Linked DNA regions of Callithrix jacchus. The protein of the gene in region 2 interacts with the protein of the main gene of each other region in a biochemical or structural test. Links are inferred from orthologs where the notes say so. Each region holds a gene or a part of one and is shown on either strand. Other genes may lie near its edges.

Evidence for each region.
Region 1: of the proteins of MALT1 (region 2) and RELB, one has a biochemical effect on the other in vitro, tested with the Homo sapiens proteins (2 studies listed by BioGRID). The link is inferred for Callithrix jacchus from reciprocal best matches to the Homo sapiens genes MALT1 and RELB.

Annotation. Positions count from the first base shown.
Region 1 is NC_133523.1:39,199,006-39,210,431, reverse strand, and holds the start of RELB (transcription factor RelB), read right to left. Parts: upstream 7,527-11,426; 5' UTR 7,383-7,526; coding exon 7,277-7,382; intron 5,977-7,276; coding exon 5,929-5,976; intron 1-5,928.
Region 2 is NC_133514.1:101,765,045-101,775,818, reverse strand, and holds the end of MALT1 (mucosa-associated lymphoid tissue lymphoma translocation protein 1), read right to left. Parts: intron 9,492-10,774; coding exon 9,342-9,491; intron 6,077-9,341; coding exon 5,919-6,076; intron 4,651-5,918; coding exon 4,525-4,650; intron 2,300-4,524; coding exon 1,862-2,299; 3' UTR 505-1,861; downstream 1-504. UniProt on the Homo sapiens protein: Protease that enhances BCL10-induced activation: acts via formation of CBM complexes that channel adaptive and innate immune signaling downstream of CARD domain-containing proteins (CARD9, CARD11 and CARD14) to activate NF-kappa-B and MAP kinase p38 pathways which stimulate expression of genes encoding pro-inflammatory cytokines and chemokines.

The DNA.
Region 1 (11,426 bases), on a different chromosome or scaffold from region 2:
CCAGCTACTTGGGAGGCCGAGGCAGGAGAATCTCTTGAACTCGGGAGGCAGAGGTTGCAGTGAGCTGAGATCGCACCACTGCACTGCAGCCTGGATGATGGGGCGAGATGGTCTCAGAAACAATTTCTGAACGTGGTATAACAACAACAACAACAAAAAGCAAAGAGGCCGATCTGATCCCAGGCAGCCTCTTGCTCTGTACCCCAGCCCTACCCTCCCACAGTGCCCACCTGAAATCCCAGATTCACCCCTGCTTCCTGAGGGAGGAGGTACAGTGATGCTGGGTCCTCAGGGAAGCCCCTTTTCACCTCCCCAGGAAAGCTCAGCCCTTGACAGAATCGTGGAGGAATCAAAACCAACCTCCCATCACTCCACAGACAGGACAAGGGGAAGCCCAGAGGCCACCAGCGAGCCTTAGGATCACACAGCAAAGGAAGGCGGCTGCAGCCAGGGGTCCCACCCAGGGCTGCATGCACTGATCTCCGGCTGGGGATTTATTGACGTGGACCTGCTCCACTGCCAGATCTGTCCTTCTTCTCTGCTCTCAGGGAGTGGCTCTGGCAGCCAGACCTTTGCCCCTTGAAAGGCAGTTCTCCTGTACTCCTTATCTCATGAGATCTCTGAAGCCAGTAAGGTGCCAAGGTCCCCCTACTTGGCAGATGGGGACACTGAGGCTGGCAGAGAGGAAGGGTCATTGGCAGGCCAACCTCAAGTCACTTCAACTGGGAAAATCCTTCTCAGGTATCTGTGCTAGATGAACCTGGGGTCCCAAAGACAGAGTTAGCCTTGTACCCTCCAGAGGCTCCCGGGCGGTAGTGGGAGACTGAGTCCTGGTCAGATGTGGCTAGAGCTCTGGAGTCACGACGTCTATTCCTATCCTAGCTCTGCAACTTGCTAGTTGTGTGGCCTTAAGCCTATTACTTCACCTGTTTGCTCCTTGGTTTCTTCATCTGTAAAATGGGCACAATAATCATGCCTAACTTGTTGGGCTAAAATAATTTTTTTTTTTTTTTGAGACAGAGTTTCGCTGTTGTTACCCAGACTGGAGTGTAATGGCACAATATCAGCTCACTGCAACCTCCACCTTCTGGGTTCAAGCAATTCTCCTGCCTCAGCCTCCCGAGTAGCTGGGACTACAGGCACGCGCCACCATGCCCAGCTAATTTTTGTATTTTTAGTAGAGACGGGGTTTCACCTTGTTGACCAGGATGGTCTTGATCTCTTGACCTCGTAATCCACCCGCCTCAGCCTAATATTTTTTTTTTTTTGAGTCAGAGTCTCACTCAGTCGCCCAGGCTGGAGTGCAGTGGCATGATCTCAGCTCACGGCAACCTCCGCCTCCTGGGTTCAAGAGATTCTTCTGCCTCAGCCTCCGGAGTAGCTGGGATTATAGGCACTAATTTTTTAATTTTTGGTAGAGATAGGTTTCATCATCTTGGCCAGGCTGGTCTTGAACTCCTGACTTCGCGATCCACCTACCTTGACCTCCCAAAGTGCTGAGATTACAGGCTTGAGTCACTGCACCCAGCCTTAAAATAATTTTTTAAATATTTTATTTTGAGATGGAGTTTTGCTCTTGTTGCCCAGGCTAGAGTGCAATAGTGCAATCTCGGCTCACCACAACCTTTGCCTCCTGGGTTAAAGGGATTCTCTTGCCTCAGCCTCTCGAGTAGCTGGAATTACAGGCATGCGCCACCATGCTTGGCTAATTTTGTATTTTTAGTAGAGACCTGGTTTCACCACGTTGGTCAGGCAGGTCTTGAACTCCCAATCTCAGGTGATCTGCCTGCCTTGGCCTCCCAAAGAGCTGGGATTACAAGTGGGAGCCACCATGCTTGGCCTAATTTTTGTATTTTTAGTAGAGATGGGGTTTTGCCATGTTAGTCAGGCTGGTCTTGAACTCCTGACCTAAGGTGATCCACCTGCCTCGGCCTTCCAAAGTGCTGGGATTACAGGCATGAGCCACTGCATCTAGCCTGTTTCATCATTCTCATGGCATTAATGAGGATGTCGCCGGGTGCAGTGGCTCACGCCTATAATCCCAGCACTTTGGGAGGCCGAGGCGGGTGGATCACGAGGTCAAGAGATGGAGACCATCCTGGTCAACAAGGTGAAATCCCGTCTCTACTAAAAATACAAAACTTAGCTGGGCATGGTGGTGCACGCCTGTAGTCCCAGCTACTCGGGAGGCTGAGGCAGGAGAATTGCTTGAACCCAGGAGGCGGAGATTGCGGTGAGCCGTGCCATTGCACTCCAGTCTGGGTAACAGCAGCGAAACTCCGTCTCAAAAAAAAAAAAAGAGGATGTCACGTGACCTCGCATGACACTGACTGTTACCTGTCTTCTCCTGCACACTGGGAGCACTGAAGAGTGGGAACAATGTCTGTCTGTCCTCGTTGCATCCCCAGGGTCCAGCATGTGTCTGGCCCATCAGAATGAAGGGAATTTTCCAGCCAGCCAGGCACAGTGGCTCATGCCTGTAATCGCAGCACTATGAGAGGCCAAGGCGGCTGGGTCAGTTGAGGTCAGGATTCTGAGACCAGCCTGACCAACATGGTGAAACTTGTCTCTCTAAAAGTACAAAAATCAGCTGGGTGTGGTGGCAGGTGCCTGTAATCCCAGCTATTTGAGAGGTTGAGGCAGGAGGATTGCTTGAACCTGGGAGGCAGAAGTTGCAGTGAGGTGAGATCACACCACTGCACTCCAGCCTGGGCAACAGAATGAGTCTTTGCCTCCAGAAAAAAAAAAAGAGAAGGGATTTTTCCTTCCCATTCTGTCTCTTTTCTTCTTTTTTTCTTTTTTAATTTTTTTTTTCAAAGATGGGGTTTCAACATGATGGCCAGGCTGGTCTTGAACTCCTGACCTCAGGTGATCCACCCACCTCGGCCTCCCAAAGTGCTAAGATTACAGGCGTGAGCCACCGCGCCCAGCCCCCATTCTGTCTCATTAGTTCTGGTATCCCCACCCTGCTGTTAAATATCACTGACCCCAGGGTTTCTTCATAGCCCTAATCACATTTTATAATCCCATATTTAATTTCTTTTTTTTTTTTGAGACGGAGTTTCGCTCTTATTACCCAGGCTGGAGTGCAATGGTGCAATCTCGGCTCACCGCAACCTCCGCCTCCTGGGTTCAGGCAATTCTCCTGCCTCAGCCTCCTGAGTAGCTGGGACTACAGGCACGCGCCACCATGCCCAGCTAGTTTTTTTGTATTTTTAGTAGAGACGGGGTTTCACCATGTTGACCAGGATGGTCTCGATCTCTTGACCTCGTGATCCACCCGCCTCGGCCTCCCAAAGTGCTGGGATTACAGGCATGAGCCACCGCACCCGGCCAATCCCATATTTAATTTAATGTTTGTGTGTCTACCTCCCATCTAGGTAGGGAACCCCAAGGCTAGGGCTGTTGTCAGTACTGCTCAGCACATGGCCAGGTACAGAACAGGTGCACAATAAATATTTATTGAATGGATGACATCAGAAATAACTCATTTGAAATCAAAGATCTAGGTCTTGAACCAGAAAAGTCTTGGCTTTGGCCGGGTGTGGTGGCTCATGCCTGTAATCCTAGCACTTTGGGAGGCCAAGCTAGGCAGATCGCTTCAGGCTGGAAGTTCCAGACCAGCCTGGCCAACATGGCAACCCCCCGTCTCTACTAAAAATACAAAAATGAGCTGGGTTTGGTGGCACATGCCTGTAGTCCCAGCGGGAGGCTGAGGCAGGAGAATCGCTTGAACCCAGGAGGCGAAGGTTGCAGTGAGCTGAGATTGTGACACTGCACTCCACCCTGGGTGACAGAGCAAGACTCTATCTCAAAAAAAAAAAAGAAAAGAAAACTCTCAGCCTTGTTCCTGCCCAGAACCACCACTTGGGCAGTGCCTGTCCCTGATGCCATCCTCCCTACACTCGCAGACCTGTTGGGGAACTGGCCTCACCTCTTCCATGGCCAAGCCAGAATGGCGTCCATCCAAATCCCAAGATGATACTGCCCGAGAAAGGCTCAGACCCAGCTAACTACAGCCACTGAGTATCCACAACGACAGGACTATCCCTGCCCTCTAAATCCCAGCAAACGTATATAAGAAAAATGTCATAATTTGGTCGAAATTCTGCATTTCCTTTTGAATGCAGTGAATTTTGGCTGGGGACTTTATAGACTAGTAATTCTCAGCATCACTTGGGAGCTTGCTAAAAATGAAAATAATTTCTCATCCCAAACCTACTGAATCAGAAACTCGAGAGGTAGGGCCTGACATTTTTTTTTTGAGACGGAGTCTCGCTCTTGTTACCCAGGCTGGAGTGCAATGGCACGATCTCGGCTCACCACAACCTCCGCCTCCTGGGTTCAGGCAATTCTCCTGCCTCAGCCTCCTGAGTAGCTGGGATTACAGGCACGCGCCACCATGCCCAGCTAATTTTTTGTATTTTTAGTAGAGACGGGGTTTCACCATGTTGACCAGGATGGTCTCGATCTCTTGACCTCGTGATCCACCCGCCTCGGCCTCCCAAAGTGCTGGGATTACAGGCGTGAGCCACCGTGCCCAGCCTATTTTTATTATTATTATTATTTTGAGACGGAGTCTTGCTCTGGAGCCCAGGCTGGAGTGCAGTAGTGTGAACTCACCCAGGCTGGAGTGTGGTGGTGCAATTTCAGCTCACTGCAACCTCTGCATCCTGGGTTCAAGCGATTCTCCTGCCTCAGCCTCCCTAGTAGCGGCGATTACAGGCGTGTGCCACCACGTCTGGTTAATTTTATATTTTTAGTAAAGACAGGGTTTCTCCATGTTGGTCAGGCTAATCTCAAACTCCCAACCTCAGGTGATTTGCCCATCTCAGCCTCCCAAAGTGCTGGGATTATAGGTGTGAGCCACCAAGCTCGGCCAACATTATGTTTTAACCAGCACTCTCAGTGAGTCTGATGCATGAGGTTTAAGAACCACTGTCTGGCTAGGTACAGTGGCTCACACCTGTAATCCCAGCACTTGGGGAGGCCAAGGCAGGCAGATTACCTGAGGTCAGGAGTTCAAGACCAGCCTGGCCAACATGGCGAAACCCCGTCTCTACTAAAAATATAAAAAATTAGTGGGGTGTGGTGGTGGGCACCTGTAATCCCACCTATTCAGGAGGTTGAGGCCGGAGAATAGCTTGAACCCAGGGAGGTGAAGATTGCAGTGAGCCAAAATCACACCACTGAATTCCAGCCTGGGCAATGGGACAGGACTCCATCTCAAAAAAAAAAAAAAACAGGCTGGGCATGGTGGCTCACGCCTGTAATCCAAGCACTTTGGAGTCCAAGGTGGGTGGATCACCTGAGGTCGGGAGTTCAAGACCAGCCTGACCAACATGGTGAAACCCCATCTTAAAAAAAAAAATTAAAATTAAAAACACCAAAAATTAACCACTGTCATAGACTGTTTAGTAATAATTATTATCATATTATTATAATACCAGTAACAGTTAACACTTATTGAGCCCTTACTGTGGAAAGTGTACCTCTATCAGTTCACTCAATCCTCTCAATCCCCCTGAAAGAGAGGCACTGTTGTTCTGTCCATCTTACAGATGAAGAAAACTGAGGCCTGGACTGGGGAACTGACTTGCAGACACTCACAGAGGGAGGGGCGGTGACAACAGCATGTAAACCCCAGCTCCAAAGCCCAGGATGGCAGTGATTACCTTCTAAGCCACAGAGAATCTCTAAAGAAGGCTTCTCACCTGGATACGTGGTTAGTTTTACCTGTCATGCTCTTAACAGTTCGATAGGTAGGAAAACCTAGGGGGCCCATCTCAACTGGCAGGGAGGGATGCAGCCTGTCAGGGGAAAGCTGAGGTGGACTTCGGTGAGCCCCCAAACAGAGACTTCTCCACGGGGTCCTCCCAACCCCATCCTGCACGTGCAGGTGGGCAGGAATGGGGGAGGGCTGCTCACCTGTGGTCCTGGAAACGGCAAGCGAGAGCGAGGAGAGGTCGGGGGACCCTGCAGAGAAGGAGGAAAGTCTCAGGAGGTGATGGAGGGCAGCCATGGGACCAAAGAATCTCCCAAGCAAGCCCCACCCTTTCCCCTCTTAGCCCCTCCCCTCTAGATCAGGCCCCTCCCCCGATTGCCCACTCGGTTGGCCAGGCTTCCTGGCTAAATCATGGACAGGTCCTGGCCTTTAGTTTCTGTCGTTCACACCAACCTCATCACACTCAGGGCCTGCTCCTTTTCTCCCTTAAAGTTGGACCTGGAGGGGACCCCTTCTTAAACTCATAAAAAGCCCCCATCCCGCTGGGGGCAGAGGCTCACACCTGTAATCCCAGCATTTTGGGAGGCCTAGGCAGGTGGATCACTTGAGGTCAGAAGTTCCAGGCCAGCCTGACCAACATGGTGAAACTCCGTCTCTACTAAAAATACAAAAATTAGCCGTGTGTGGTGGCAGGCGCCTGTAATTCTAGCTACTTGAGAGGCTGAGGCAAGAGAATCGCTTGAACTCGAGAGACAGAGGTTGCAATTAGCTGAGATTGTGACACTGTATTCCAGTCTGGGCAACATAGCGAGACTCTGTCTCAAAACAAAAAACCAAAACATCCTCCTCAACAATAATAAAAAAACGAAAACAAAAAATAAGTAAAATAAAATAAAGCAAAAAAACAGCCTCCTCTCAGCGTCACACCACTTTTTATTTTTTCAATGTCAAGGCCCCGCTTCTCCGTCGGGAGGCAAGCCCCACCCTCTCCTCATTCTCTGTATTAGGCCCCGCCCTGCTTTTTTGGGTAACAGGCCCTTCCACTCCTCTCGGTCAGAGTCAGGCCCGCCCCTTCCCCTTCTTTCGGCCAACTCAGGCCCCGCCCCCTTCTGGACCTCGCGGCCAGGCCCCGCCCCCTCACCCTCCGCGTTGGGCTCTGCTTCCTTTTTTGAGTCAGGCCTGGCCCTCTTCTTGTAGTCCCGGTGGGATCCCGCCCCTCTTCTCCCTCTCGGGGCCGGGGCTCGCCCCCATGCTCCCCAAAAGCAGATTTCGCTCCGCCTTCTCTGAGTCAGGCCACGCCCCCTTCTTTGCCTCAGGGTCAGGCCCCGCCCCCTCTCACTCTACAGCGGGACGCCTTGCTCGAACCTCCGGCCGGACTCCCTCATCACCCTCTGCCTCCTTCCTACTCCCTAATACAGTGTCTCCGGAACCCTCTGTCCCCGCGAAACCCCTAGATTCCCGTAGGATCCCCCAGACTACTCCGGGACTGCCAGAATTCCCCCATCTCCAGCCCCGGCCCGGACCCCTCTCCTGAACCCCAGCGCCGCTTACCCAAGGCCCCCAGCTCCGACGCAGCGGGCGGTCTGGCGACGCGGCGACTCGGCATGGCCCGGCCAGTGGGGACGGACGGCCCAGAGGCCCGCCCAGACCAAAGCATGCACGCGGGCAGGCCGGGCGGCCGGGAGGCACGGTCCGGTGGACGATTGCGGGTCGGGCGAGCGGCGCAAGGGCTGGGGCCGCAGGCCGGGCAGGACGCGCGGCGCCCCGGGCTGCGCGGGGCGCGGGGCCGGGCCGGGCGGGCGGCGGGAGGGGGCGGGGCGGCGGAATTCCCCGGCGCTGCCGGCCTGCGCGATCATTGGTCCGCACCCCGCCGTGACGTCACGGCTGGGGAACGGGAAAACCCCCACGCGTCACGTGGTCGCGGGGGCGGGGCCGGCCGGGAAAGGGAGGCTGTGCGCTCAGGAGGGGTTGGGCAGGCGTCGCTGCCCATTGCTTTGGACAAGACAACTGAGGCCTGCTTGGGACCATCACGCCCTACCCATTGAGCAAGCCGGGAAACTGCCTGCCTTGGTCTCCCAGTGGGACTTGAACCTGCCGTTTTTCAGGCTGGAAGGGAAGCTTCAGGATTGGGAGGTTTGCCAGTCCTCTACAGCTGCCATCCGTAATAATATTTCGGAAACCTCCAAGGTCTCGCTACACCTCAGTTTCCTCAACCGCAAATTGAGGATAAAGATATTTAAGGAATTTTTTTTTTTTAAAGACGGGGTTTCACCATGTTGGTCAGGCTGGTCTTGAACTCCCGACCTCAGGTGATCCGCTCGCCTTGGCCTCCAAAATGCTTGGATTACAGGCGTGAGCCACCGCTCCCGGCCCTTAAAGAATGTTTAAAGCTTGCGTGTCAGCTTCAGAATTTCTGTTTTGTGCATTGCTGTATCCCCAACGCCTAGACCAGCGCCTGGAACACCGTAGGTGCCCAATAAATGTTTATTTAGGCTGGGCGTGGTGGCTCACACCTGTAATCTCAGCACTTTGAGAGGCCGAGACGGGCGGATCACGAGGTCAGGAGTTCGAGACCAGTGTGATCAACATGGTGAAACCCGATCTCTACTAAAAATACAAAAATTAGCCAGGCACGGTGGTGCGCGCCTGTAATCCACCTCCTCAGGAGGCTGAGGCAGGAGAATCGCTTGAACCCAGGAGGCAGAGGTTGCAGTAAGCCAATATTTTGCGCCACTGCACTCCATCCTGGGCGACAGAGCGAGACTCCCTAAAAAAAGAAAAATGTTTATTGGATGAATGCATGGATGTTTTATTTAATGGTTTGTTCCTCCGCGCAGCCCCTGAAAGTTCCCCATAAATAGCCCAGAGCACTTTGAGCTCAAAAGCTCAGTGATGCAGTCTGCAAATGGCAACAGTGTAGCCTCCGTACACATCCTGAGCTTGGTGCCCAGCCCCTGAGCTCATCCCTTGCACCAGTGCCAGAAGCATATGATAGGATTATTGCAGAAGAGATTCAGGCTGAAAGAGGGGCAGCCATTTGGCTAGATCACATTCCTAAGTCCCCCATATCCCTGAGAACAACTAGGTAATCTATTAGGTTCTAACTTGAATGCCAGGCACTATCGAACCACAGATGCAGGGTTTGGTGTCTTTCCTTTGCATGTACAAAATTTGGGTGTTCTAGCTGGGCACAGTAGCTCACACCTGTAACCCCAATACTTTGGGAGGCCAAGGCAGGAGGATTGCTCAAGCCAGGGAAGTTGAGGCTGCAGTGAGCTGTGATCGTGTTACTGCACTCCAGCGTGAGTGACAGAGACCTTGTCTCAAAAAGAAAAATAAATAACTCTGTAAGTTGAATGTTCACAATAATCCTGTGAAGTATATGTTGTTATCCCCACAGAGCAGATGAGAACACTGAGACCCAGGGAAATTAATTTGGCCAAGGTCACACAATATTTAAATATGACACAAATATTTAAAACATAAAATTCTTAGAACAGGACCCGGCACATGTGAGTGCTATATACAAATGTGAATTTTTTTTTCTTTGAGACAGGGTGTCACTCTGTCAACCAAGTTGGAGTGGCAGGAACACGGCTCACCACAGCCTCAACCTCCTGGACTATGGAGATCTTCTCACGTCAGCCTCCAGAGTAGCTGGGACTACAGGCACACAGCATCACATCTGGCTAATCTTTTCTTTTCTTGAGACAGAGTCTCACTCTGTCGCCCAGGCTGGACTGCAGTGGCATGATCTTGCCTAACTGTAACCTTTGCTTCCCGGGTTGAAGCGATTCTCCTGCCTCAGCTTCCCAAGTAGCTGGGACCACAGGTGTGAGCTGCCATGCACAGTCTGTTTTCTATTTTTTTGTAGAGAGAGGCTCTGTTGCTCAGGCTGAGCTACTGCACCTGGCCACATGGCAACTGTGAACATCATTGTATTTAATCCTCATAACCATCCTATCATTAGGTCCACTAGACAGACGGGAAACTGAAGCTCAGAGAGATGAAGTCAGTTGCCTGAGGTCACACAGCTGGTGAGCTGAGACCACAGGTGTGTACCACCATGCCTGGCCTAATTTTTGTGTTTTTTTGCAGAGATGAGGTTTCAACATATTGCCTAGGCTGGTCTCAAACTCCTGGGCTCAAGCAATCTGCCCTCTTCAGCCTCCCAAAGTGCTGGGACTACATTTCTTTCTTTTTTTTAAAAGTAGAGACAGGGTTTTACCATGTTGGCCAGGCTGGTCTTGAACTCCTGACCTCAGGTGATTAGCCCATCTCGGCCTCCCAAAGTGCTGGGATTACAGGGGTGAACCACTGTGCCTGGCCCTATTGCTTTCTTTTTTTAAGAGATGGGATTTTAGGGCAGGCGCAGTGGCTCAAGCCTGTAATCCCAGCACTTTGGGAGGCTGAGGTGAGTGGATCACAAGGTCAAGAGATCGAGACCATCCTGGTCAACATGGTGAAACCCTGTCTCTACTAAAAATACAACAATTAGCTGGGCATGGTGGCATGCGCCTGTAGTCCCAGTTACTCGGGAGGCTGAGGCAGGAGAATTGATTGAACCCAGGAGGCGGAGGTTGCGGTGAGCCGATATCGCGCCATTGCACTCCAGCCTGGGTAACAACAGCGAAACTCCGTCTCAAAAAAAAAAGGGGGGGAATCAGACCATCCTGGCCAATATAGTGAAACCCTGTCTCTACTAAAAAATACAAAAATTAGCTGGGTGTGGTGGTGCGCGCCTGTAGTCCCAGCTACTGGGGAGGCTGAGGCAGGAGAATTGCTTAAACCCGGGAGGCGGAGGTTGCAGTGAGCCGAGATTGTGCCACTGCACTCCAGCCTGGCACCTCGCAATAGAGTGAGACTCTGTCCCAAATAAATAAATAAGAGATGGGATTTTGCTACGTTGTCCAGGCTGATCTTGACCTCCTAGCTTCAAGTGATCCTTCTGCCTGAACCTCCCAAAGTGCTGGGATTACAGGCATGAGCCACTGTGCCCGGCTCTTCAATATATAGAGTTATTACACACAGTGTAAGTGTCAGGCACTGCTCTAAAAGCGGGGGACATAGCGAGGCACACAGCAGACAAAAAGCCCTTACCACTGAGGAACTCTAAGTGAGGAGACACATGGAAAACAGGTAAGCAGTGTCTGGTGGTGGTGGTGGTATTACAGAAGAGAGCAGGATAAACAATGAGTTTGGAGGACCGCTTGCATGAGGAAGATCAGCGTCTGAGAGGTGCCATTTGAACAGGGAGCCAGAAGAGGTGAGGGATCCATGTGGATATCTGGGGGAGAGTGTTCAAAGCACAGGAACGAGCGTGTGCAAAGGCCCTGTGGTAGGAACATGCGTGGTGAAACCCCATCACTACTAAAAATACAAAAATTAGCTGGGCACAGTGGCAGGCACCTCTAATCCCAGCTACCTAGGAGGCTGAGGCAAGAGAATCGCTTGAACCTGAGAGGTGGAGGTTGCAGTGAGCTGAGATTGCACTGCTGCACTCTAGCCTGGGCAACAGAGCAAGACTCCATCTTTAAAAAAAAAAAAAAAAAAAAGGCCGGGCGCGGTGGCTCAAGCCTGTAATCCCAGCACCTTGGGAGGCCGAGGCAGTGGATCACGAGGTCAAGAGATTGAGACCATCCTGGTCAACATGGTGAAACCCCATCTCTACTAAAAAAAAATACAAAAAATTGTAATCCCA
Region 2 (10,774 bases):
TCTCTCTCTTAAAACAATCTATGTGGGGTTTGTGCTTAATTAAATTTGGTACAGTTGATCCTCATTCATGGTTATGTATTTGTCAATTTACCAACTTGCTTAAATTTATTTATAACCCTCAAATTGGTATCTGTGAAAACTTTTGGGGTCATTTGTGGATATGTGTAAATAGGTGAAAAAATTGAGTCACTCAATTCACATATTCCCAGCTGAGGATGAAAAAGATGATGCTCTGCCTTCCTGTTTCAGCCTCAGAGAGAAATAACTGGAGGATGGAAATGGCAGGGGCAATTCAGTGTAGTATAAGAAGCTCTGGTTCCAGGGTCAGCTGGACAAGGTTTGAATTTTGGTTCTGGCACATCTTTTAGTGGCATGTCACTTAACGTTTCTGATACCTCACTTTGACTTCTGTAAAACAGAATCTGCTAGAATGAACCATTTTAAGAATTCAAGCTCATAATGTACATTACATAAGCATATGTATACACACACAACCACATTCTCCTAAAAGCCGTCATTCCATATTTAATTCAGTGTTTGTGGGAGAATATTTTGTAGAACATAATTACTGTGAATAATGAGAACTGACTGTATATTATTTATTTATTTATTACATGTTGAACCAACCTTGAATTCCTGGGATAAATTCCACTTGGTCATGATGTATAATTCTTTTTATATGTTGCTAGATTCAGTTTGCTAGTGTTTTGTTAATGCTTTTTATGTTTGTATTAATAAGGAATATTGACTTATAATTTTCTTGTGATGTCTAGTCTGGTATCACGGTAATACTGATCTTATAGAGTAAGTTGGGAAGTGTTCTATTCTACTTTAGAAGGAGTTTGTAAAAAATTTAGTGCTAATTTTAATGTTTGGTAGAATTCAGCAGGGAAGCCATCTAGGCCTGGGATTTTCTTTGTGAGACTTTTAATATTACAAATTAGTATTTTTCCTTGTTAGTGTCAATTGCATTTTTAACCAACTTTAGGGAGAACCAGAAATGATAAGAATATTCTCTCATTAGGCCAGTAAAATTCAAGAAGAAAACACATTAAGGAAGATGCTAAATATCTGGAAAATTCAGCTAGGCTGCAATGAAAATTAACCATCATATCTTGATTCTTAACCTCTGTTAGGTCTAGCTTTAACAAACATTTTGTTACTTCTCATGTGGTTTCATTATCTTATTAACAAGAAATTTCAGCCTGTTCTACATCAGATTTATATACAAACCTCTTAAGTAAAACTTGTAGCAAACTCCTATAATCAAAAACTAAAGTTTGTACATTCCTTGAGATAATACATAGATATGTATCTCTCTCTATTTATATATATATATAAATATATTTCACTCTATCTACAAAAATAACACTTATCTCAGAAGCTGTCAGGAAGGCAGTGTGTAGTGGAAAAAATAGTGGAATAGAATTCTGGTGCCAGCTCTAACTTAGATAAGATGCCTTTATGTGTTTCTCCCATTGAGGAAATCAGGTTACGCCTGGTGATCAGCAAGGTTTTTTCTGGTATTAAAAATACAATGACTTATTCTACAATAATGCTATTCCAATTGCTCTTACTTCAGAGTGGTCACAATGAAAATATTTTGTATATACATATAAACATACCCCGATACTTCATTTGTACAGAACTAATCAACCAATTCATAAAATCTTAGAAGAGAAAGTCTGTGATTAAATAATATAATTCCAACAATTCAAAGTCCTGAAGTTTGCTATGTAACAGTTACTAGTATTCTTTCTCTACATATACAGATTTGCCTGTTCACAATGTCTCACTTTATGTAAGTACAGTACTATTTCACATGAGGCATCTACAATTATGCAAACTTTTAAAAATGAGGTCATTTTTCAGAAATTCTGAGCCTGTCAGAGAAACTAAATGGTATTTCATCAGTTGTCTCTACTGGCACGTTACTTCTACTAAAATGACATGAAGAATGGTGAGCAAAACTTGAAATAAATGCATCTGGAGTCCGGCTGCAGTGACAGCTATCTGCTGGTGTAACGTTACTTGGATTACTAGGATGTGAATGATAAATACCATGGAATGGGTCTTGCAATGAGTGATAATGTCCTGCTCCTCCTGAGGTGGCGGCAGAACTCTGGTAAGGACCATTAGACATGAGACAAGTTTGAAAGCAAGTCTTCCTTCCCAAACCTCGATGCATGTCTAATTTAGCAATGAGAGGTTTCCCAACATTCACCTCCTGCTTGTCCTCTACAGTATCTTCCAATCCTGAGTACTGATACGATAAACATACTGTAAAGACTAGATGTTCCTGAAAAGGAAAAAAAAAATCTGGTTTATTATTGGCATCAACAGGGAATAAATATGTAGTAATCTGAAAAAATATTATTCATACCCCTACCCCACCACACATCCACTTGCTCTCCTTTCCCAGGTTCCACATCTTCAAGGCATCCTTTTTATCTCTCCTAAACTGAGAAACACCAGCTCTCATCTTCCTTTTCCTTCATGCAATACTTACAACAAATTTAGTACAATTGCTAGTTCTTACTATTGTTAGTAGTCAAAATGAAAGAGACCTGATATTCAAGATGAACAGGGAAAACATATTTTCCAAGCAGTGCAGCTTAGGACACTTATCCTTTCCTATTATTAGAGATGGGGAATTATTCTTTAATTAAAAAATGAACTGGGCCAGGCATGGTGCCTCACACCTATAATCCCACCACTTTGAGAGGACGAGGCAGGTGGATCATTTGAAGTTACGGTTTCACCACACTGGCCAGCCTGGTCTTGAACTCCTATCTCTACTAAAAGTACAAAAAATGAACTGGGCATGGTGGTGTGCACCTGTAGTCCCAGCTACTCAGGAGGCTGAGGCCTAAGAGCCACTTGAGTCTGGGAGGTGGAGGCTGCAGTGAGCCAAGACTGCCACCACTGCACTCAAGCCTAGGTGACAGAGCGAGACATCATCTAAAAACAACTGTTTTTATTTCTTGAGATGGAGTCTCACTGTCGCCAGGCTGGAGTGCAGTGGTGTGATCTCAGCTCACTGCAACCTCGGCCTCCTGGGTTCAAGTGATTCTCCTGCCTCAGCCTCCTGAGTAGCTGGGACTACAGGAGTCCACCAACATGGCAGGCTAATTTTTCTATTTTTAGTAGAGACTGGGTTTCACCATGTTGGCCAGGATGGTCTCCATCTCTTGACCTTGTGATCCACCTGCCTAGGCCTCCTAAAGTGCTGGGATTACAGGTGTGAGCCGCTGCGCCTGGCCCCAAAACAACTGGTTTTATACCAGTTTCACAAAAAAAGCTTAAGCTGTTTTTAAAATATTAAAATCTGTAATCATAGGTGGAAAATATAACTGAATCAGATACCAGGCTAACTTTTTAAGAGAAGAAAGGATTTTAAATAGATGAGCTCTGAACAGGATGACAACAGGTTTATGTGTGCAATTCTTAATCGTGCCCATTCCATTTCCTGAGTTTTGGCTGATATGGTCATGTAGTTGTGAACAAATTAAAATCTCAATTTTTGCACAGAAAAGCTTTCATTAGAACACTCAACATGCAGAACTAGCTTCTCATTTGTAAATCAACTGGAAATTAAAAAATTGAAATTCCAATTCTAATTTGCTAAATATGTTTACTTATAGAACTAGGAAATGATTACTTGAAAATCTCAACATATTTAAAAGTAGAATATGGAGCTGGGCGTGGTGGCTCACATCTGTAATCCGAGTGCTTTGGGAGGCCAAGAAGGGGGGATTCCTGAGACCAGGAGTTCAAGTTTGGCTTGGGCAACATAGTGAGATCCCTTCTCTACAAAAAAATTAAAAAAAAAATTAGTGTGGTGGCTCATGCCTGCAGACTCAGCTGCTTGAAAATCTGAGGTGGCAGGATTGAGACCAAGAGTTTGAAGTTACAGTAAGCTATGTTCATGCCACTGCACTCCAGCCTGGGTGAAGAATAAGAAGCTGTCTCCAAAAAAAGAAAAGAAAAAAGAATATGCTCTAGGCTGGGCGTGGTGGCTCATGCCTATAATCTCAGCACTTTCGGAGGCTGAGGAAGGAGGATCATGAGGTCAGGAGTTCGAGACCAGCCTGACCAACACGGTGAAACCCTGTCTCTACTAAAGATACAGAAATTAGCCAGGGCTTGTGTTGCATGCCTGTAATCCCAGCTACTTGGGAGGCTGAGGCAGGAGAATCCCTTGAACCCAGGAGTTGGAGGTTTTAGTGGGCTGAGATCACGCCACTGTGCTCCACCCTGGGCAACAGAGCGAGACTCTATTTTAAAAGAAAGATAAAATGCTCTATGTTCCTAATTTTTCAGCAGTATGGATGGTAAGCATGAATAAAGTCCTCTGCCCACTGTCAGAAACAGAATATAAAAAGAGTCACTGATGGGACCTTCTGTAGATTGGTTATCTCTACAGAATACTCACTAAGGCGGCATATCTATGGTCTATGCCAAAATAAATTTCCAGTTTTGAAAAGTTTTTCATTAGAAGCTATAAACAGAAAAGGTAGTAACCTTTAATTTTTGCAGTGAACTGAGTCTGGTATAGAGGCAATGCTTGGGAAGATCCTTGGATACCAAGTAGCTGCCAGTTTCTTCAGGAGTGCCTTTATTTGCATCTTTTGGATCAATATCTAGGTCCTATAAAAGAAAAATCAGTGACTGTTAATAATGAAATCCATGAAAGCCACAATATAATCTAGCACATAAGATGTCTTAACTGATACTGTTCTCTCATGAATTTTGGCCTCTCGTGAATTTTGTAAGTCCAAAATTATTTATCCAAGACTAAATGAAAACAACAATCTATGGTTATAATAGGAATTCTCAATTCTGTACTAAGCCATTTAAAAAGTAAAGTGAGCTCTGAAAGAGTTTCCTTTCAAATGATTCCTAGAAATGCTCCTTGAGCTACTCAGGTTTCCTCTTTTTTTTTTTTTTTAAATTTTTTATTGGATTATAGGTTTTGGGGTACATGAGCAGAGCATGCAAGACAGTTGCGTAGGTACACACATGGCAGTGTGCTTTGCTTTTCTTCTCCCCTTCACCCACATTTTGCAAGGTTTCCTCTTAAGCAGAGAGAGTCCCATTAGTGTTTGACTCTTGGATTCTCTCCTCTTAATCATCACTTGTTGGAAGGTGCAGGGAAATTTATATAATTAGAATATTTAAGAAAGATAAATAAGCAACCTTTTCCTTTTTCTTATTTTAGAGCCAACCCAAAGGCCAAGAGGGTTCTGCTCCTCTAGTGAGAAACCCACAGGGCTCCCCTTGCTCAGCACCCCAGGAAGCCTATCTGGGCTCTGTGCTGCTGAGACTGGAGGTGTGGGGTGGCCCTTGAATTCTGGGGTTTGGTGCTAGACCATTTACTCTCACATGAAGCAATACCCTCCACAAAGCCTCTATCAGTAACAGAAGTGATATTCTGGGTTTCTGCGTGTCTTACTCCTTGCTTGCTTCTCAGTTTGTCACACTCACGTAGGAAAGAGGGGTACTATTTACTGGCTTCTTTAGACTAATGTAAAATAAACATCATATCTAAATGTTTGAAAAGAACAGAACTAGATTTCTATTATTCCAGTGACCATAACTTGACAAGACTTAAAAACCATTGTTTCCAATATAAGTTATAACTGTTTAAAAGGAAGTTATTCTCGACATATTTAAAGCACATTTTATTCCTTCACATTTGCTATGCTGTTTAAGATATTAAAGGTGTCTTTCTTGAGTAAACTTTAGACATTTCTAAATCTGACAAACTTAAGGTATTTTGATCATTAGTAAATATTACGACCAGTGTTACTAAACAATAAACGAATATACACACATATATAAATATACATATTTCCTATATGTTTAATAAGTGAATTTATCACTGTATTTTAAATAAGAGAACAAAGGAGACTCACAAGTGGGAAATCGGTAACGTAGGCATCACACATTATTATCTCCGGTGGTTTGTAAACTATACTTGTATAGATTATCATGACATTGGAAAACTCAGCTGCAAATCCTAATTGAATCTGAACACCACAGTCAAACTTAAGACACATACTTTCTGGAAGTTCTGAAAAAGAACAATAACAACAACTTTGGTAGAATTCCTGATAAGAGGCACATACTTATGAAGGAGAATATAGTTAGCCTTTGTTTTGCTTAAAAACATGAATCATATTGTTTAAACACACATTTTAAAAAATAAAGCTCAATACTCTGCTGGCTGAACAAAAGCTTTTATTTACCATTTGCTCATAGTTCTTATACATCTGTATATATATTTTTTATTGTGGCAATAAAAAATATGCATACAATTGTAGATACATTTTCACTGTTATCTCAATTTATATGACCAGAATTTTTTGTTGTTGTTGTTGAGACGGAGTCTCGCTCTGTTGCCATGCTGAAGTGCAGTGGTGTGATCTTGGCTCATGGAAACCTCTGACTCCCTGGTTCAAGCGATTCTCCTGCCTCAGCCTCCCTAATAGCTGGGATTACAGGCACATGGCACCAGGCCCAGCTAATTTTTGTATTTTTAGTAGAGATGGGGTTTCACCATGTTGGCCAGGATGGTCTCAAACTCCTGACCTTGTGATCTGCCTGCACTGGCCTCCCAAAGTGCTGGGATTACAGGTGTGAGCCGTCACGCCTGGCCCATGACCAGAATTTTTAATAAAGCACAATGTCACTGAATGGCCACACTATAGTTTAACGTTCTGTTAACTCTTGAATTATAATACTTCCAGGTTTTATTGTTTTTCTATCATAGTTAATCTTTGTTTGTATATATGTAATGCTTTAAGGTTGTTAGGTATAGCTATGCGATTGTTCCTTTACATATGGGACAAATTATTATTATTTTATTTTTTTGAGACGGAGTTTCGCTCTTGTTACCCAGGCTGGAGTGCAATGGTGCAATCTCGGCTCACCGCAACCTCGGCCTCCTGGGCTCAGGCAATTCTCCTGCTTCAGCCTCCTGAGTAGCTGGGATTACAGGCACGTGCCACCATGCCCAGCTAATTTTTTGTATTTTTAGTAGAGACGGGGTTTCACCATGTTGACCTGGATGGTCTCGATCTCTTGACCTTGTGATCCACCCGCCTCGGCCTCCCAAAGTGCTGGGATTACAGGCGTGAGCCACCGCGCCCGGCCCGGGACAAATTATTTTTAATTTACATGGAATATAAAGTTTTACCATAACATGTCCAAAACAGTTTTAATAATTTTTAAAACAACTGTCTACTTGATGGGATTAAAAAGTAGAAAGATATCATCATAGTTTTAATTATTCCTTAGTTACTTAAATTAGCCATTTTTAAGATTTCTTTCTCAATTAATATACTTCTAGAAATGTGGATTATTGAATTTGCATCCATTTGCTTGTTTACTGAGGAGTCTTAATTTTTTTCTCTTAGCATTTTGTATGAGCTCATTATTAAAAAATATTTTAAAAATGACCTACTTGATTAAATTCGTTACAAATACTTTTTTTTTTTTTTTTTTGAGATGGAGTCTCACTCTGTCACCAAGCTGGAGTGTGGTGGTGTGATCTTAGCTCACTGCAACCTCCGTCTCTTGGGTTCAAGTGATTCTCCTGCCTCAGCTTCCTTAGTAGCTAGAACTACAGGTGCATGTCACCACATCCAGCTAATTTTTTTCTGTTTTTAGCAGAGATGGTGTTTTACCATGTTGGCCAGGATGATCTTGATCTCCTGACCTTGTGATCCTCCCACCTCAGCCCCCTAAAGTGCTGGGATTACACCATGCCTGGCCTGTTACAAATACTTTCTCTATGACCTTTTAGTGTTATGAGGTTTCGTTTACTGTTGATCTTTACCCCTATAATTTTGTTATTGTTTGTTCTTTAGATCTTCTATAGAGAAAAGACATTCAATTTTAATTACTTCTCCAGTTATCTGGAATGGTGAGATATTTATGGCATTTTACATTTTAATGTGCTTTAATATGTTAACTTACCAAAAATATATATTGGAGAACAATTTTTTTTTTTTTTTGAGACCGTTTTCAGGCTGGAGTGCAATAGTGCAACCTTGGCTTACTGCAACCTCCAACTCCTGTGTTCATGCGATTCTCCTGGCTCAGTATTCAGAGTAACTGGGATTATAGGTGCTCAGCTAATTTTTATATTTTTAGTAGAGAGGGAGTTTCACCATGTTGGCCAGGCTGGTCTTGAACTCCTGACCTCAGGTGATCCACCCATCTCGGCCTCCCAAAGTGCTGGGATTACAGACATGAGCCACCAAGCCTGGCCAAGAACAAAAATTATTGTAAAAATATTTTATGGAACTTCAATAAATACAATTATAAGAGACTCACAGAATAGATACTTGGACTCAGAAAATCCACAATATTTCAATCAGTAATTTAAACGTATTTTTTCATTAAACCATATACAATTACCCAAAGGTAATTATGCTACAGACTGATTGTTGATCAACCTATTTGATCAACCTACTGATCAAGTATCCAAGAGAGGATGCTGAGTTATATTAGTAATCACAAGCACAGAGGATTTGCTGAGTGCCATGCTCATTTCTACCTGTGCCATCACTCAATCCCAATAACCTACGAAGCAGGTACTATTTATTTTATTTTCGAGATGGAGTCATGTTCTGTTACCCAGACTGGAGTGCAGTGGCACAGTCTCTGCTCACTGCACTGCAACCTCTACCTCCAACGTGCAAGGGATTCTCTTGTATCAGTGCCTAGTGGTTGGAATTACAGGAACATGCCACCACGCCCTGCTAACTTTTTGTGTTTTTAGTAGAGACAAGGTTTTGCCATGTTTCCCAGGCTGGTCTTGAACTCCTAACCTCAGGTGATCTACCTGCTTTAGCCTCCCAAAGTGCTAGGTTTACAGGTGTGAGTCACTGCGCCTGGCCTGAAACAGATACTATTTCTTATTCATGTTATAGATAACATGTTCATAGATTGGTTCAGACTGGATCAGACCCCAAATCCACGAATTTTGACAGCTGCACACTTTAACAGGTCGCAATACAGGAGAATCTAAGGGATTATGTATTAGACAAATGGAAAATTAACCTATTTTTAAAATAGAAAAATTTTTAAATGGTTATTTTAATTTTACCAATAGTGAAAATAATGGGCTAAATAATTTGTATTTCCAACATCAAATAAACCAGTGTAATTAATATCCATAATTGAAACATTTGTTTGGTTTGAGATTTGTCTGGTAGGCCAAAATATTTTCATTGTAAAACTGGGAGGAAAGTTAGTTATTCAGAAGAAGAAAACTATATGACTTAAGATAAATATATTATAGATCAAACAAAAAACAGACTTTACTATACCATGAGCCTTGGCCCACTGTAGATTCCGCACCAGAGATTCTGCAGAATATTCTGTTCCCTGTATTGGATCAGTAAGTGCTCTCTTCTCAGATAAACTACTTCGAATCTCTAAAGCCTGTTTGCCTTTGGTAAGGTGACACTTACCCATATCTAAAAGATATGAAAAGAAATATTATTTTTTTGAGATGAAATCTCGCTCTGCTGCCCAACCCAAGCTGGAGTGCAGTGGTGTGATCTCAGCTCACTGCAACCTCTGCCTCAGCCTCCCGAATAGCTGGGATTACAGGTGCCCAGCTATTTTGTATTTTTAGTTTTGAACGCCTGACCTCATGATCCACCTGCCTCTCTGCTTCCCAAAGTGCTGGATCACAGGCACGAGCCACCATGTTCGGCCAATACTATTTTAAGACCACCAATTCTTATGTTTTAAATATTTAGGCTAATAACTACCCTACGTTATCAGGTTACATTCTCAGTATCATTTATCCACTCAACAAATATTTCCTGAGCACCTACTATGTGGTAGACACAGCAGGCATGTTTTAATTTTTACTCATGTGTAGATATTCATAAATAGTATATGCCAATGTTTTACGTTTTTGAATTCAACAAAAATGTTACATGTATGTCTTTGTAATGTGCCATTTTCATTCAACATGTTTTAGATACAGACTAATGTATATGGATACACATCAGTTTAAATTTGGACTATCATGTTCTTTAAGTTATAGTTTATCCTACTTCTTTCTGCTATGTTATAAATTCACAATAGTAAGGTTCTTTAAAAAAAAAGAAAAAAAAGACAAAAATATTCAGTGATCCAGAACAAAGTCTAAGTTAAATCAGCCTGTTGGGGGTTAAAAGGAGACACCAAGTGTTGTAAAAGTACCTCAAAATTAGTATTTGTTGGAGAAGAAAAGATATAAAAAGGAAAATGAGCCAAATAAAAAAATTAGATAGTAAAAACAGATACAAAAAATAACAAACGCAAATGAACTTAATTTTCTCATTAAAAGACTCAGATTGGATTTTAAACAATTTGTTATATGATGCCTCCAAAAGCTACAGTAAAGCAGAACAACATGAAATGTTTGAAAGTAAAAGTGTAAAGAATAACATATTAGGTCAACAAAAAGGAAGCTGGTATGGCTCTATGACGATACAAAAAAACAAAAAGCATTATTTGGAATGGAGGCATCACTACATAATAAAACGTTCAATTCAGTAAGAAAATATAAACATTTAAAGCACAATAAAATAGTCATAATATGTATGTATTAGGAGTTCTATGTATGTATTAGTTATATGTATATAATAACTAATAACCCTAATATATGGTTAGGGTTATTAGTTATATGTATGTATTAGTTATATGTATGTAATAACTAATAACCCTAATACATGGTTAGGGTTAGGGTTATTAGTTATATGTA